Drosophila melanogaster: one gene and its partners. The protein of the gene in region 1 interacts with the protein of each later gene in a pairwise test. Each region holds a gene or a part of one and is shown in the gene's direction. Other genes may lie near its edges.

Region 1 (2,973 bases):
GGCTTCATTATGGAACAGCTTGAATACCCCAACAGCCTGCATAAAGTATGAAATTAAAATCCTGGCCAAAATGGTAAAAAAAAAAACCGAGTGACAGCAAAAGTTGCAAAAGCGTCGACAAAAGCGGAAAATGCAAACCAACGAAGAGCAACCATTTTTGTTGACTTGTTGGTGGCTTTGGTTTGTTGCGTGTTTTAGTATGTTTGTGGGTTCAGAGGTGAGGGTGGGGGGTAATGGGCCCCAGGGGGTGGGGGTTGGTGGTTGAGGAGTAGTAGTTGACTCGGGTCACACCTGTGTCAGTGTGTTGGTGTTGTGCCAAAGTTGAAACTTAATGTGTACAGCTTGTCCGGGCATTTTGTAGCCCCAAAGTCATGGTTAGTTGAACTTTTCATTGTTCCCTTGAACAGTGGCAGCAACTTTTGCAAAATGTGCAAAAAGGAATATTTAATAAGCTACAAATAATAGTATTTGAAGAACAGATCTTGGCCCGAAAGGGAGCAAGAACTCTATACAATACCCATCTGTTCCTTTTCATTTCTTGCTTACTAGATGGGCTCAAGGACATAATTTCTTGAGTCAACTTAAACTTAAAGCATCAAGCCATGAAAGTTTAAGCGCTGACGGCCGCAGAAGGAAATCCTTTATTCGCATGTCCCCTTATTTTGCCACCGCAATTCAAGCTGACTTCTCCGACTTGCAGGACATGCTGGTGTCGTTTCATTGTGACAAATAAACTTACGCACCGGAAATGGCAGGAAAACCAGGCAGGGCGGCAATAAAATGCCAAGGAGGTGCAAAATAAAATAAGAAAAAAACATCAACCAACTTGGTCAGCCTGTAAAAACGGCTCGCATATCAGCTGGTTTACAGCCATTGTTTATTTATGTTGTTGTTGGGTGTGGAAGTTTGGTGGGGGGGGGGGGGGGGAGTACGTACCACTCCGTGCAGCACTCAAATTAAAGGACCCGAAAAAAATGTGATTTCGAAACAACATTCCCCGGCTGACAGGAAAGGCTTTCAGCTGCAATTCACCCGACTGCACTTGCCATAAAGCGAAAATTTCATTAGGCCTACCCGAAAATGGCAAAATGGCAAAAAAGAGCAGTCCCTCACGACGATTAGGGTTGCCGCCCTTCGCATTTTTTATAGTACTTGCTGGCCGAGTATTTGGCCGTAAATTCCAAACCATTTCCATTTTGCACAAAACGTGACTGAGTTTTCCCAAACGCGCCCCCACTGCAAAATCCCCGCCCACTAGCTTCCGTTTTTCGACATCCTCCGGCAAGGGAAACTGTAAATAAATTTTATTTTTCGGTCCGCCAGCAAAGTGCATAGAAAGGTTCGCAGTCCGTAGTCTGTAGTCCGTAGTCCGTAGTCCGCAGTCCGGATTCCCGCATAGAAGCCTTTAAAACGGAACTTTATCTGCATTTAGTACGTAAATAATCGAGTGCCTCGGTCCGAGGATTTCGTCAGGTGAAAAGGCTTTTAGCTGAATTTGGGATGAGTGGGCAGTGCTAATTTGTTTTGGATTGATGGACATGCATTTTGCACGAATGAGCTGGTAGCCCTGGTTAATCGAAGCCTCTCAGCAGGCCCTTGATTTTATCATCGATAGTTTAACATGCTGGAAAATTGGTGAAAAGAGTCAGGTCGTAGCAAAATGAGTGATTTGGTAGGTATCGTTTATAATGACTATCCCATGGAGAGCGAGGAGGATTTCAATAGGCGCAGGAGGGATCTTGATAATATATTTTTCAACTGCAGCACAAGGAAAAATCAGGTGAGTGAAGTTTTCCGAATAAATTACCAAGCCATAATTAAGTGCATAGCACATGTTTCAATCAACTTTTGCTAACCAAAAAAGCACTTATGCTGATTTATTGTAATTAGTATGTGTATGTTATTACCATGATTATGCGCTCTTATTCAAAACGTGTTTTTTTTCTGACAAATAATAATAAGTAACTGCGCAGCTATGAATATTTATATCCTGGTAATTAAATAACATTCAAGTTTTTATGTGTACTCTATATGTATCATCCTACAAACAAAAGGAACAACAATTCGAAGCCAAGCGTCCCATACTAAACTCATCGAACTACAATAAGATATTCGGAGCATCTTTGGGAGATGACATGGACTTCGAGGACTTTCCCGACCTCAACCAACCACTGCCAAATATTTCCATTCACGAGCAACTGCGTCTGGCTTCCGGGAACCGCGAGATAATCGCGAGCATTCAGCGAAATCACCAAAAGCGACTCGAAAACCTTTGGCACTCGGAACTAATAGAAAAACTAGCGCAAGAGTAAAAGCAATTCTAGTTAGAGATAGAAGTTGCTTTTGGGTTTTCCTTCAGAGATTTCTCACAAAAAATATTAAATAAAATGTATTGGTAAAGCCCTGATTACCATGTAAGTTGTTACCAAAACTAGCGTTGTTAATTGTTAACAGGTGAGTGTGCGAGGCTTAATTGCAATTTGCGCAGCGTCATTCGGATAATTAAGTGAGTTTTAACTTGTGCACACACAATTTGCTCATGTGACACATTTGATGGCAATGGCAATGTGAAACGAATGGCAATGGGGCACTTTAAATGCAAAACTCACAGTTTGCCAGGCGAGCCTGTTGAAATCATTTAACGAGCTTGCCAAATTGCCTTATGGAAAATGTTGGAAAAGCGGGCGAAGTGCGTTTCCGCAGTCGAAAGTCAGGACGTCCAGTTTGTGTCAGGATGCATTGATTTATGTCCTGCAGACGTCGAGAGCGGAGGAAAATGACATGAATCTTCATTTGTGAATTGCATTTTATATGACTGCTCTGTCTGAGATTGAGTATTTGTGCGCACATAAGCACGCTTACACTCGCGGTGCAAATAATAGTAACTGCGGTTGGGAAATGGTCGAACATATGTTAGTACATTCTGATATATAGTGGAATCTGTAATAGCACTTCTACTGTACCATTTATTAT
Region 2 (6,096 bases), on another chromosome or scaffold:
AACAGTTATTTAATTTCTTAAATGTAAGAAAATATACAAATTTACAGAAAAGAACCGAGAGGGAATGATTACACTGCCAGAGTAAAAAATATCTCAAATTCAACCTTACACACCCACATGACACGACAACAACGGACTTTCCCAAAGCAGTGATAAAGAAGCTGCGGGGCGGTTAATCCTTAAAGGCCTCATTAAGAGCCGCCAGATTGCGATCGCTCACATAACTCTGGAGATCGCTGCGGCCCATCAGCGAAATGACCATCTTCAGCGTACTCCAAATAGACTCGGACATCTGGTTCTGTCCTCTAAAGGTAGCCGCCATCGCCGCATTGGGCAGCTCTCGGGCGGCGTTAGTGTGAGCCTGCATGGTAAGCGCTGTGAGTAAGTGCTCCACAGCTTCCTTGTAGGCCTTAAGGTTCATGCAACATACGCCCACGTTGTAACGCACACGGATGAAGCCCGGTTGGAGCTGCAGCGCCTGCTGATAAGCCTCCACCGCCTCCACGGAGCGCGAGCCGTTGGCCAAACTGGCCCCCAATCGGTTCCATGTCTTCGCATTTTGGGGATCCACCTGCAGAGCGGACTGGTAGCAGTCCACCGCCTTGTCGAACTCCCCAGATAGATTGTAGAGCACGCCGAGGGCATCCTGGACTTCGGCATCCACCTCCGAAGGGTGCTGTCGAACGGCTTCCAAGTAGATCTGCTGCAGATCGCGCAGCTTACTCGGACCAATCAGCGACGAAGCCAACGAAGTGCCCTCGGCCTGCAGCTCCGGATGGGCTGCGACCAGGTGCTGATACTTGGGATGCACTGTCAGCCAGTTGCACAGCATGCGCACGGCGTTGTTCTGCAGGCCCTCGTTGGTGTAGCACGCGGCCAGGGCCATCAGGACCTGTTGGTTGTCCGGTTGCAAGTCGTAAGCCCGCTTAAGTGCCGCAATGGCCTGGGGATCCATTTCGTTCTCTGTCTGCGAAGTGCCCAGCAACTGCCAGACCTCAGCGCGCTCCGGTTGCTTTTTGGCCGCCACCTCGAAACATAGAACTGCGCTGGGTATATCCCCTTTGGACAGGTACTCCTTACCCTTTTCAAACGGGTTCTCCACATCAGACATGGGGTTGCCCTCGGCGAACTCGTACTCCTTATAAGCGTCCATATTGTCGTTGTACTCCGACAGCCACGGATGCTCGTTCTCGTCGGCCAGCTTCTGCCACTCGTCTTGCAGCCGCTCCCAGAACTTTTCGTTGAAGTTGGCGGCGGTTTGCTCTTTTTGTTCGGTGCTGCGCTGGTAGTCGCTGATCCAGTCGTCCAGCGATTCCCCCTGTGGCGCCTGTGGCAGATGATCTGTGATTATAGTTTCCATGGCGGAGTCAAAGAAGGGGTCCTGTTGCTGTCCTGCCGCAATGGGCATCAAAGGCTGACGCAATGGCGGCAGGGACCGAAAGTTCTGGCTACTGATCAGGGGCTCGTCGAAGAACTCCTGGGCATGCTGCAGGTCCTGCTGCTGTGCCTGCATGTGGATCATCTTGTTGGGCAGGGCGGGTGCCAGTCCGCGGGCAAAGTCCTGTCCCCACTGCTCCGCCTGCTGAGAGTGCATCTGCTGCTGCGGATTTCCGTGAATATTTATGTCCCGCATCTCCTGGAGCAGAGTGTCCATCTGAAATGACTGCGGTGGGGCAGTGACCTGTCCCAGGAACTCGTTGATCAACTGGTCCTCGGGACGAGCAGCGCGCTCGAAGTGTCGCTGCACATAGCCCTCATCCTTGTGGGCAACATCGCGGGTGAACTGTCCGCCCAGTTGCATGAGAGGATTAACTCCACCGCAGTCGCCCTCGACCAATGGGCGGAAAGACATGGTGTTCGAAGTGGAGATGCTACGTAACTGGGGCAACCAACGATAAGAAAAGGGGCCAAATCAGGTCCAAAACAAAAGTCCAAATGTCACAAAGATTACCTGTTTATCGGCCGTTATCGAAGCTATCGGCTTTGTGACAGTGTTGCACAGCGCTCTAATAATAATAAAATATATCGCCGCGCAAAATCTTATCCGCCAGAGAATTGGTTTCGAACGCCAAATCCCCGACTGCACCATGGACTACGACCTTTTTCAGTCGGATGACGAGGAGATCCTGGCTACCTTCATACAGGCGACACAGAAGCAGGAAACCCTGAGCGCGCAAATAGACGTGGACGATAGCGAAGAGGACCTAGTCGACGGTCTACACTTGCCCGAGTTCAACTGCAGTGGCCGAGACACTCTGAAGAGCCAACTGTGCGAGGGAGGCTTTCTGGGGAATGGCTACGCCCAATTGGATCCGCCCCGCTCTCGCCTGGATTATCTCTGTTTTGACTTTGCTCCGGCTCAATTAGCGGTTGGCGCGGTAAGAAACTACCTGTACGGCGAGGCCTGGTGAGTTTAGAGCTCCCCTGGCAGCTGCCAACAAGTACAACTCTTCCATTCTCAGTAAGAATGTGCAGAAGCTGTTAACCGTCGTGATGGGCCAGCAACACCTGCAGGCCACGGCCGCCTCTATGAACTCTGGTTGGTATAGAGTGCGCCAGCAGGTCACACACTTCTACCATCTGATGCTGCTCCTACGAGGCAATGAGCTGCTGCCTTCACATTTTCTTGATGGGTTTCGACAATTGCTCAACGATCAGCTGGATGCGGATACCTGGAAGGTTTTGTATTTTGCGGAGCACAACAAGGGAAACGACTGCCAGGCGCCGGCGTATCACCTGTATCACGGCGTACTGGAGTGGCGTTTTCTGGACCTGCATATACTGTACGCCTCTGGGAATGATCAAGCGTTCCTAGGGCAGCTGGAGCGCACACTCGACGATCTGATCGTTTGTGCTGGACATCACTACCGCAGCAAACATCGCTCGGAGCTCATCCATTCCTCGCCGTTCATGTGTCGCTGCAACAAGGAGCTGTGGCTGCTGCTGAAACGTCTTATTCCCAAATGGCTGGGAGAACGGGAGCTAGACTTTTGGACTCTATTCCACAAGGCCATGCAGAGGCACAAGTCACTCCACTTCCAGGGTGAGTGCACAAAGAAGCTAGACCGTGCGGCTTCCCCTCATCTTATAGTCGTTTTTCTTCTCGAGGTGAGAGCAATGCAATTTCTCTGGCATACCACGAACTCTATTCCTGGTTGAGGCTAGGACTGGCCCGCTTGGACGAATACAACAGTGAGGGTTGGTACCAGCCGGATCACTCGCCGCTCACTGCGGCACCAGAAAGCTTCCAAACTGCCAGTCTGCTTAAGCAATTTCTGGCGAGCCAGCCGGACGAACAGCAGCGGCGGGTCTACCTAATTCAACTCTCTCCCCTTCAACTGCAGCTGGGCAAGCCGGATACTGATGTCCTGTGCCAGCTGTGGGAGTACTTTCACCGATCCCTCAACTGCAATTTTAGTGTGGGAACTGAGCTAGATCAGCTGCCGCTTACCTGTTCCAATGGGTCGGCCTACGTCGATCGCTACAACAAACTGCTGTCTAAGTCGCATATAGAAGATTTGAATCTGAGCAGTTTCACCATGTACGCGTGGATGCTGGGCAAAACCTTGAAGCTTTTACCATCGCAGGGCAGAAGCAACCAACGTCAGAAACTACTCGGCCGCATATTCAGCAAGTTTAGTGCCGCGAAACTTTTGGCTCTGAATGAGCCTGGTATTCACCATGTGATCGAGCTGTTTCTGTGCCTGCTGCTCTGCCACGAAGATCTCAGCGAGTTGGCGCCCAAGCTGCGCGAAATGTTGCTCTGCCTGGCCCTGGAAAAACTGCCTCCGGTGCGAAGGATTCTCGTGGCCAAGGGACACATGGCCCTGCTGCTTCTGCATGCCCAGCATCGCCTATCTATGGATGACTATGTGAGCAAGCTGCTCAACCAGTTGGCCACCATTCGCAATGATGCAGAGGTGGGCGCCATTTATGTGGGCAGCCTTCAAGCCATCTTTAATCTGGCGGATGACTTCAACCGCGGCGAGCAGCAGCTTCTCGGGCCATGGCTGGCACATTACGTCGAAAAGTGTGGGCAGGCATCGCAGGATCGCGTATGGCAGACGCTTCACAATTTAATCCTCCGTCTCAGCGAGCGGAGAGCTGTGGCTGGCAATGCGAGTGGCATCAAGGAGGCACTTCAACAGCACATAATGCCACTGGTGAGGACCCAATACGTTAGTAGCCATAGCTCATGGCTTCCAAAGCTAGCGGCTAACTTCATCGCCCTGGAGAATAATGGGGACAAACTGCTACTGGGCTTCCTGCAGGGACCAGAACCCATCAATATGGCTGCTTCTGCTCAGTTGTTGCTCCAGGTGTTGGAAGACGGAGGGCGACCTGCCAGCTCCACCATTCTTCAGGTCTGGGTGAAGTCTCTGGTCCTCCTAAACGCACAACACGAATCTGTATTGGCTTTAATGCCCCATGTCACACAGCTAGAGGAGTTCCGACTTCTGGCCATTGATCCCACCTCTTTGGAGGGCGGGCGCGAGCCTCTCTGCGCCTTCTTTGGAGCTCTGGGAAGGCGTGCCCAGCAAGAGGAGGCTGCTGCCCACGTCCGTATGCAGTTGAGCCACAAACTGCATGCCTATGTAAATCATTTCGAGCTATGGCTACCCCCGGATCGAAGCCGATCGGAACTCGGTTCCCGGTTCTACAGCTTCCTAGCCATTGTCATCTATAATTGTTCCACTCTAGCGTACGTGCGATCCAAGCCGAGCTGCTTCTTCCACCTGGCCATGGTGCGGTTCCTGCTCACCACGCAGTTGCAGGCAGGAGTGCCGCCCGAAGGTCGCCTTCCACAAGTGGTTCACAAGATTTTCCCAGTGTTGCTGCAAGGCATTGGTCGACTGCCTTACCGCACGGACGCATACGTGGCCAAGACTTTGGAGCAACTAGTTCAGCACTGGACGCCGCACTTTAGCTTCTCATCCAACGCCAAGCTGGTGGCCCGTCCATATGCCACCCTCCTCCAGGCGGATGTAGATGGAGAGCTGGCGCAGTTTGTGCTTCAGCTCCTCGTTACCCAGTTTTTGGTGGTCCAGCGGCGGAGGGCAGGACAGCATGCGGGCTTGGTGATCACTATAATGCAGCAACTGATAGAGAGCACTGGCAAAGAGCAGGAAGAACAGCTGCTAACCGTTTTGCGCGGCGTGCACATCCCGCTGCTGGAACACGTAATGTTCGTGGACGAAGTGGACCTCAGTCGCAACCAAGTGTTTGGACTTTATAAAGTGCTTATATCGCACGATGCCTACAAGCGATCACAGGCGGTCAGGGATATGTGCTCCAATCACTTGCGATCCCTCGCCGAAAAGCACCTGGCCCACTGCACTTACTTTTACTTCCAGATGCTGATCAACCTGGCAGAGCTGGCGCCGGATCTAGTGGCTCCCATCCTATCCTTTATAAGGGAGCAGGCAGAGCAGGTGGAGCTAAAACGCGGCGCTGGAGAAGATGTGGGCATACGCAAGTGCTTGCAGCGACTCCAAAAGGTCTTGAGCAGGGTTTAGGCTCCTCATGGCTTCTTTTGTACATATAAGGATTCTCAATAAAATGTTAGGCATTCTATAAAATCTTTATTATTTCAGTCGGAAGATTCAATGATTCCTCCTTAAGAGATATACGTTACGGTGCGGCAAAATGTACATGGTGGTTTACACAGTCTCGCGATCTGTGCTCAAGGTCTCAGTTAAAGTGTTGGAAATAAATACATTATGATTGCTTCTCCTTTGGGCAGTTCTATAAACAGACGGCTAAACCACGTTTTTGACGTCGCGCGGTATGCGATTGGTAAGCAGCTCGGCGGGCATAAAGCCGGAGTCGCCCAGGTACTTGATGGACACGTTGCCGGATGGACTGATGGTCAGCCAGGTGATGGAAGCGTGATTAATGTTAATCCGTAGCCAACCCTCGGCGGGGAACTGCAGGGCTCGGCAGACAAAGTAGCGGATCACGTTGCCGTGTCCCACGATCAGGGTATAGCTCTCCTTCTCTTGGTCGGGATAGGCGCGGTGGAAGTATCGGCGAAAGCCGGCCTCTATGCGCGATCCGTCGCGAAGGAACTGCTGCAGTGAAATGAAAGCCGAATAT
Region 3 (6,012 bases), on another chromosome or scaffold:
GAACTGTCGAAGTGCCTGAAGAGCAGTGTTCACAACTTGCGACCCTATCTGGCCAAGGGCATTAAGGAACTGAACGTACCGCCGCTAGAGCCCCTCTACATTGGAGATCTGAGCATTCTGGATGGATCCGCCGGGCTCACGGTAAAAGCCAAGAAGCTGAACATCCTGGGCGCCTCCAACTTTGAGATCACCAAGCTGCGGGCTTCCACCCAAAACCGACGCTTTGACTTCGAGTTGATTCTGCCCCATCTCCATGGCGATGGGCTCTACGAGATCAACGGCAATATTTTGGCACTGCCGATCAAGGGCAATGGGCCGTTCACTGGAAACTTCACCAACTTTGTGGCTTATGTGCGCGTCCAGTACGACATTAAGAGTGTTAATGATCTGGAATACCTGCATGTCAAGGAGTTCGTCCTGAAGATCCGCACTGGCAAGGGAAACCTGAAGCTGGAGAACCTCTTCAACGGAGACAAGGTTCTGGGCGATGTCATCAATGATACGATCAACCAAAACTTCGAGGTCTTCACCAACGACTTGATCGCACCGATTGCCCGCGCCCTGGAGGCCAAGTTTCTGGTCATCACGACCAAAATCCTTGAGAACTTCACCTACAGCGAGCTTTTCCCCGTCTAATAATCTTGCTAACTGTAGTTAGGCTAAATCTAAGCTTGTGATACACTCGATTTGTTATAATTAGTCCCTAAATATTCAATAATAAATTTTAGAAATTTACGCAAATAGATTTGAAATTGAATGCGTCAAAGGAAATTATGTCTTGATTATCGTTGTTGGGAGAGTTTCCCGACTACCAGATACCCGTTTCTTAGTATCAACGGGAGCAGCTAAGCTGCTTGGCCACAAGCCGCCCATAACTATTACGATTTTGAAAAACGTTTGGATTATTTCTTTATTATATGTATGTATGTAAGTCTTGCAGATTTGTATCGGTATGCCGCGCCCACAATAAAATTTTTGGCCGATTTGGTCAAGAGTCGCTTTCCGGCTTCTAAATCTTCATCTCCTCGCAATCCAAGTTGGATTAACGGGTATCTGATAGTCAAGCTTTATCTTGCTTTTCTTAGATATCATAACTTTGGTACAAAACTGGTGTTTTGATTTTCATTTCATTTTTAGTAGTTTCAGTTTATAAATATTATTGGAACTACCATAAAATTATGTTTGCTTATACTAATATTTAATATGATAAAACGTAACTAGCTTTTTTAGCAAGGACGAAAGAAAGGGAGACATTCAATAGAATTCTTATTTTTCTTGAGTCACCTGTTTTAGAGGAATACCTCTTGTTTTTGCCATGTCGCTCAATTGTAAAATTTTTCTGCAATCGGACCCAGGTTGTCTAAAGTTCAAATTAATTTTGGTTTACAAATACTTCGATCAGTTTTCTGCAGTGTTAAACTTACACTTCGAAAACTCCTATTCGTAAAAAACATCAATAGGAAACGTATTTTGAATGGTCTGGCAACCTCTGGCAACTCATATTTACGCTCAATGCTGGCTGGGTGGCAGCTCTGTGCAACGAAATTGATTTGAGCTCCAGCTCTACGTGATAGTATCGGGGAAACATCGGTTTTCGTTCCAGCTCTATACCACTGCTGCCCGAGTTTGCCCTCAATTAAAAATAAATTACAAAATTTCATCGTTACCGTTCGCTAAACGCAACGCATTGCCCAGGCGTCCGAGTTCCAAATCCAACACAACACGAGTGGTAGTATCGCTGTGAAAAATGTCAACACCCGCACGCAGACGTCTTATGAGAGATTTTAAAAGGTGAGAAGAAACTAAGGAATCGAATGCGAATAGAAAAGAATACAAACAAAACGAAAGCAAAGGAAAACAGGAAGGCAAGGAGCGAATGGCAAAGTACACACAACCGTTGGATTTTACGTTTTACGTGTTTCTCGTTCCGAAAAAATGCTGGGGAAAAGAAACCTGGGGGCTGCCCAATACATATAAGCAAACACACGGACACACGTATATATGACTGTGCTCCACGTCTGTATGTAGTGGAAAAGTTTGCGCAGCCAAAATATGTACGTGTGCATGTGCCCATGCTCGTGTGCGTGTGCGTGTGTGAGTGGTTGATTATTTTCGCTGCTTTGCTCGTGCGAAAAACAACAATTCGCTTGTCTTTGACACTTGACTTTGATCTGAATGTGTGTGTGTTCGCGCGCGGTGCGGGGTAAAAGCAAGAAAACAAAGGGGAAAATTGGGAAAACCAAACAACATTCTTCTTCCGCCGTTGCCGAAATTGCGTCGCAGCAAAACATTAACGTTTCTATCCGCCTGACTCGGCAGCTGCATCCTGCCCGCTACCCCCTCTCGCTCGCACTCAGCCTTGTTGACTCACGCGAAAGAGACGAAGCGCTCCTATTGGAATTTCATTCGGCTTCGAAACTTTCATCATCCCGAAAGTTGGCGCTGCAGTGCAGATTGCAGTTGAGGAATACGAAACCAAATGTCAAGGCTGTTTGCGTGGGCGCGGGCTCCTGCCCCCCGGCAAAGTTCCAATGTACCACCCCAAGAGGCAGAGCAACTGCACAGAAGCATATCTGACAGCATACATCAGATACCCCTTACTCAGCTAGAACGAGTTCGAAGTGGAAATTTCGAAACTAAAATAAAAAATAACATCGTCAATTTTATACTTTGTGGGGTCCGAATCTAGTATAGTTATTGAGTACTCGGGACTGATTAGTTTGAGAAACACAAATTCTGTTTTGCGAAAATGTTTCATCAGGAATGCAATATTCAAATCGTAATGCGAATCGAAACTGACTCCATTTTAGAAGTCTAGTTTTTGATAAGAGTTCATTAGAAAATACCTGTTACACATCATTGGATACCTATAAATAAATTATGAACATTTTCAACAAGTTATTTTAATAGCTCGTATTACCGCCCAAAATTGACCTTTCAAGTTCATAAATTTCAAAATATGCTTCAGACTTGGATATTGCATATCTTATTTCCCAGTGCACTGTCGCGTTTCTTAGCTTGTTTAATCGATGATTTCACTTGGCCCGTGTATCGATTTAAGCCGATTGAAGGGCGCGGTTAACCGGGTTGCGCCGCCCGCTAGCTGACCTAAATCGCAGCCAATCCCGGCCAGGTAACTTTTAGATTGTTTTTCATCACTCTATGTCTGACCGTTGCTTTTGGTTTCTTCTGTGTTGCGGAATATGTATACAAATAGGCAGAATTTGGTGTCCACGGGACCGTCAACTCTTGCGACGATTAAAGACTTACGTTTCAAGCACATTGTTCGTAAGATCATTAACTAAAGACAATTACAACAAGAAGATAAAAAATAATTATTAGCTTTACATTGCAACCTAGTCGGCAAATGTTAAGGTAGAGTTTTTTATTTTCGCCTCAATTGGAATTTATACAATAAATAGTATATTTGTGTAAACAAATATGCATTAACTTATTTATTTACAACACTTTAATTTGATACTTACCTGCAGACTTCAAGAGGATCCACCTACGGGTGTCTCGGGTGCTCCAACAGATAATAATATTATGATATGGAATGCTGTGATTTTTGGTCCACACGACACACCCTTCGAAGACGGAACATTTAAGTTAACCATAGAATTTACGGAAGAGTACCCAAACAAACCGCCAACGGTTCGATTTGTATCGAAAGTATTTCATCCCAATGTATACGCAGATGGTGGAATATGCTTGGACATATTGCAGAACCGCTGGAGTCCCACGTACGATGTGTCAGCCATATTAACATCCATACAGGTGAGTTACTCTGCTTCTGGATCCAGTAGCTATAGCTTAATGTGTATGCTTCTGATTTCCAGTCACTGCTGAGCGATCCCAATCCCAACTCACCGGCTAACTCCACCGCCGCCCAGCTGTATAAAGAAAATCGGCGCGAGTACGAGAAGCGTGTGAAAGCCTGCGTTGAGCAGAGTTTCATCGATTAGCCATGCGCCCACTTTAGGAACAGCAGCAGCATCAGGAGCCGGAGCCACAAAACGAGCGGCAGCAGTTTAGTAGGCGACCGCAGCTTAAAGCATCAGCAAACTACAGTAACAGAAATATGCAATACCATAAAGAAGTTTAAATTAAATAATAACAGAAATATTTATGATAATTGTAATGCTATGAAATTGTAACACCGCCAACGGCACGGCACAGCAGCATATATACACCCTGCGCACACAATTCGCAACCCATAAATACTGGGCAGTTTTGAGTTATATTTGTTTGGCCAATAGTTACACCTTGTCCCCAGCCCGATCACCCGATCCCGAAGGCAGACGCAATTCACTTAAAAAATTAGGAAGTCCTCTATGGATGCAGCCGCTAGTTGCGCCGGCAGCCAGAAATAAGACTCTTATAAGCTAAAAACTCAAATGTTCTAATTTAAAAAAGCAGCGGCAATAATGTTTAATAATAAAACAAAAATTATAAAAACCATTTCAAGCGATTGCAATGTCAAATAGTTTCATTTTAGATGCGCGCAAACCCAGTCCTGTAAAACTAAACTCAACCAATGCCTAAACGAAAATTAATATTTGTAGTAGTTCGTGGCTCAGCAAACACGTACACAAGAAACATACATTTTGAATCCGCTTGAAAACCTAGTAAACAATTGTCCAGTGTCGTCATTTATGTGAACTATATGTATCTACCAAACCCCAACATAAACATACACATGCTACCTAGATCGAATTATAAGTTTATTGGCTACAAATTGTGAAATTACTAGAAATTGATAATTAAATGTTAGTTTTTAGCAATGTAAACCAATCCACACGGTATGTGACATGGTACAAGTCTCCAAGTTGGGAACAAGCAAGCAAATATATATGCATGTATTCCTCGGTAGCTTCCATTGACCAATGCTCTATGTATTTTGCCCGATAATTTTGGTGGCTGACCGACGCTTTACTTTTACCCTATCTCTAAGATCTTATCCTTGGCCTCATTCAAGTTTACACCCTGATTTGGTCAGCTATGATGGCCCAAGAAGAGATTTGAGCGGGGTCTTTTTTCAGTGTAAAGTGGGATGAAAACATCTCCTAACTGCCATTTGCCACGCTATGTACTCTCTAGGTTCCACTGTGTCTTGGCTGCGGCAATTGATTTAGTTAGTTCTTAAGCGTTTACAATCGACTTTTATTCATGTTTTTTGTTGAATGCGAATTGCTGTACCTTTTGCTATAAACCCTCCACTTTTTGGCACTTTGTGTTGGATGCTCTGAGCATCATGTTAACCATATATATGATAAAATTACCATATAGCAGCATATTGTTTTATTAACTATGAACCAACTAAAGCAGAGGAGACAGTAACCCAATTCAATTCACAGTAATAGTAAATCAAAGAATGAGGATTAGCAACCGATTCAGACAATGTGGAATTTCAAATTACCTTACTGTAATTAACATTATTATTATTAATAAAGTTAAGATTTCCAATATCAATAAATGAAAGTAACACGAGTACACCTTGTTTAAATTAAATTTTAACGGAACTATTTTATACTCCCCTTACAACATGTCGAGTTGGAGCTAAAATGGTTGCTCCAAATCAATTGTCCAAAAGTCAATTGTAATTAGGAGGAAAGTGACAGTGCTGCCAAGAAAATGTCAACTATAGTGTGCTCCTAAATTCGTACCAACCAATTAAAAAGAAGCATTACGACATCATCATCCGTCACGCAGGTAGTGGGAGTGCATGGGCAGATTTTAAAATTCTTCCGAAAAATAAGAAAACAAAATAAAATCAAACCGTTATTTATAAATTGTGCGCCTTAAATTCCATTGAATTATAATTCTCCAAGTTTATGATAATACAACAGGACTTATTTTCAATAATACTGTGTATAAATAAATTTATATATTCAGAGTAAAAGCTCAACAACTAATTTTATAAAAGATTTGGTGAACAGGCACGGTTTCAAAGTCAGAGTACAGGACCAAGTTACATATTCACTTCAGCGAATTGATTTTAGTTTGTGTTAA

What was found.
Region 2: the proteins of CG17650 (region 1) and CG14803 interact in a two-hybrid assay, tested with the Drosophila melanogaster proteins (one large-scale study listed by BioGRID).
Region 3: the proteins of CG17650 (region 1) and Ubc6 interact in a two-hybrid assay, tested with the Drosophila melanogaster proteins (one large-scale study listed by BioGRID).

What each region holds. Positions count from the first base shown.
Region 1 is NT_033779.5:1,757,740-1,760,712, reverse strand, and holds CG17650 (uncharacterized protein), read left to right. Parts: upstream 1-1,619; 5' UTR 1,620-1,660; coding exon 1,661-1,780; intron 1,781-2,054; coding exon 2,055-2,312; 3' UTR 2,313-2,427; downstream 2,428-2,973.
Region 2 is NC_004354.4:1,866,836-1,872,931, forward strand, and holds CG14803 (uncharacterized protein), read left to right. Parts: upstream 1-2,087; coding exon 2,088-2,407; intron 2,408-2,462; coding exon 2,463-3,043; intron 3,044-3,108; coding exon 3,109-5,516; 3' UTR 5,517-5,573; downstream 5,574-6,096. Other genes in the region: Pex5 (peroxin 5), read right to left, coding at 173-1,879, 1,952-2,089; Pgam5 (phosphoglycerate mutase 5), read right to left, coding at 5,760-6,071. UniProt on the Drosophila melanogaster protein: Involved in recombination-dependent repair of stalled or collapsed replication forks.
Region 3 is NT_033777.3:4,948,232-4,954,243, reverse strand, and holds Ubc6 (ubiquitin conjugating enzyme 6), read left to right. Parts: upstream 1-1,561; 5' UTR 1,562-1,747; coding exon 1,748-1,791; intron 1,792-3,491; coding exon 3,492-3,777; intron 3,778-3,839; coding exon 3,840-3,965; 3' UTR 3,966-5,489; downstream 5,490-6,012. Other genes in the region: Jhbp3 (juvenile hormone binding protein 3), read left to right, coding at 1-636. UniProt on the Drosophila melanogaster protein: E2 ubiquitin-conjugating enzyme that accepts ubiquitin from the ubiquitin-activating enzyme E1 and transfers it to a E3 ubiquitin-protein ligase. Required for postreplication repair of UV-damaged DNA.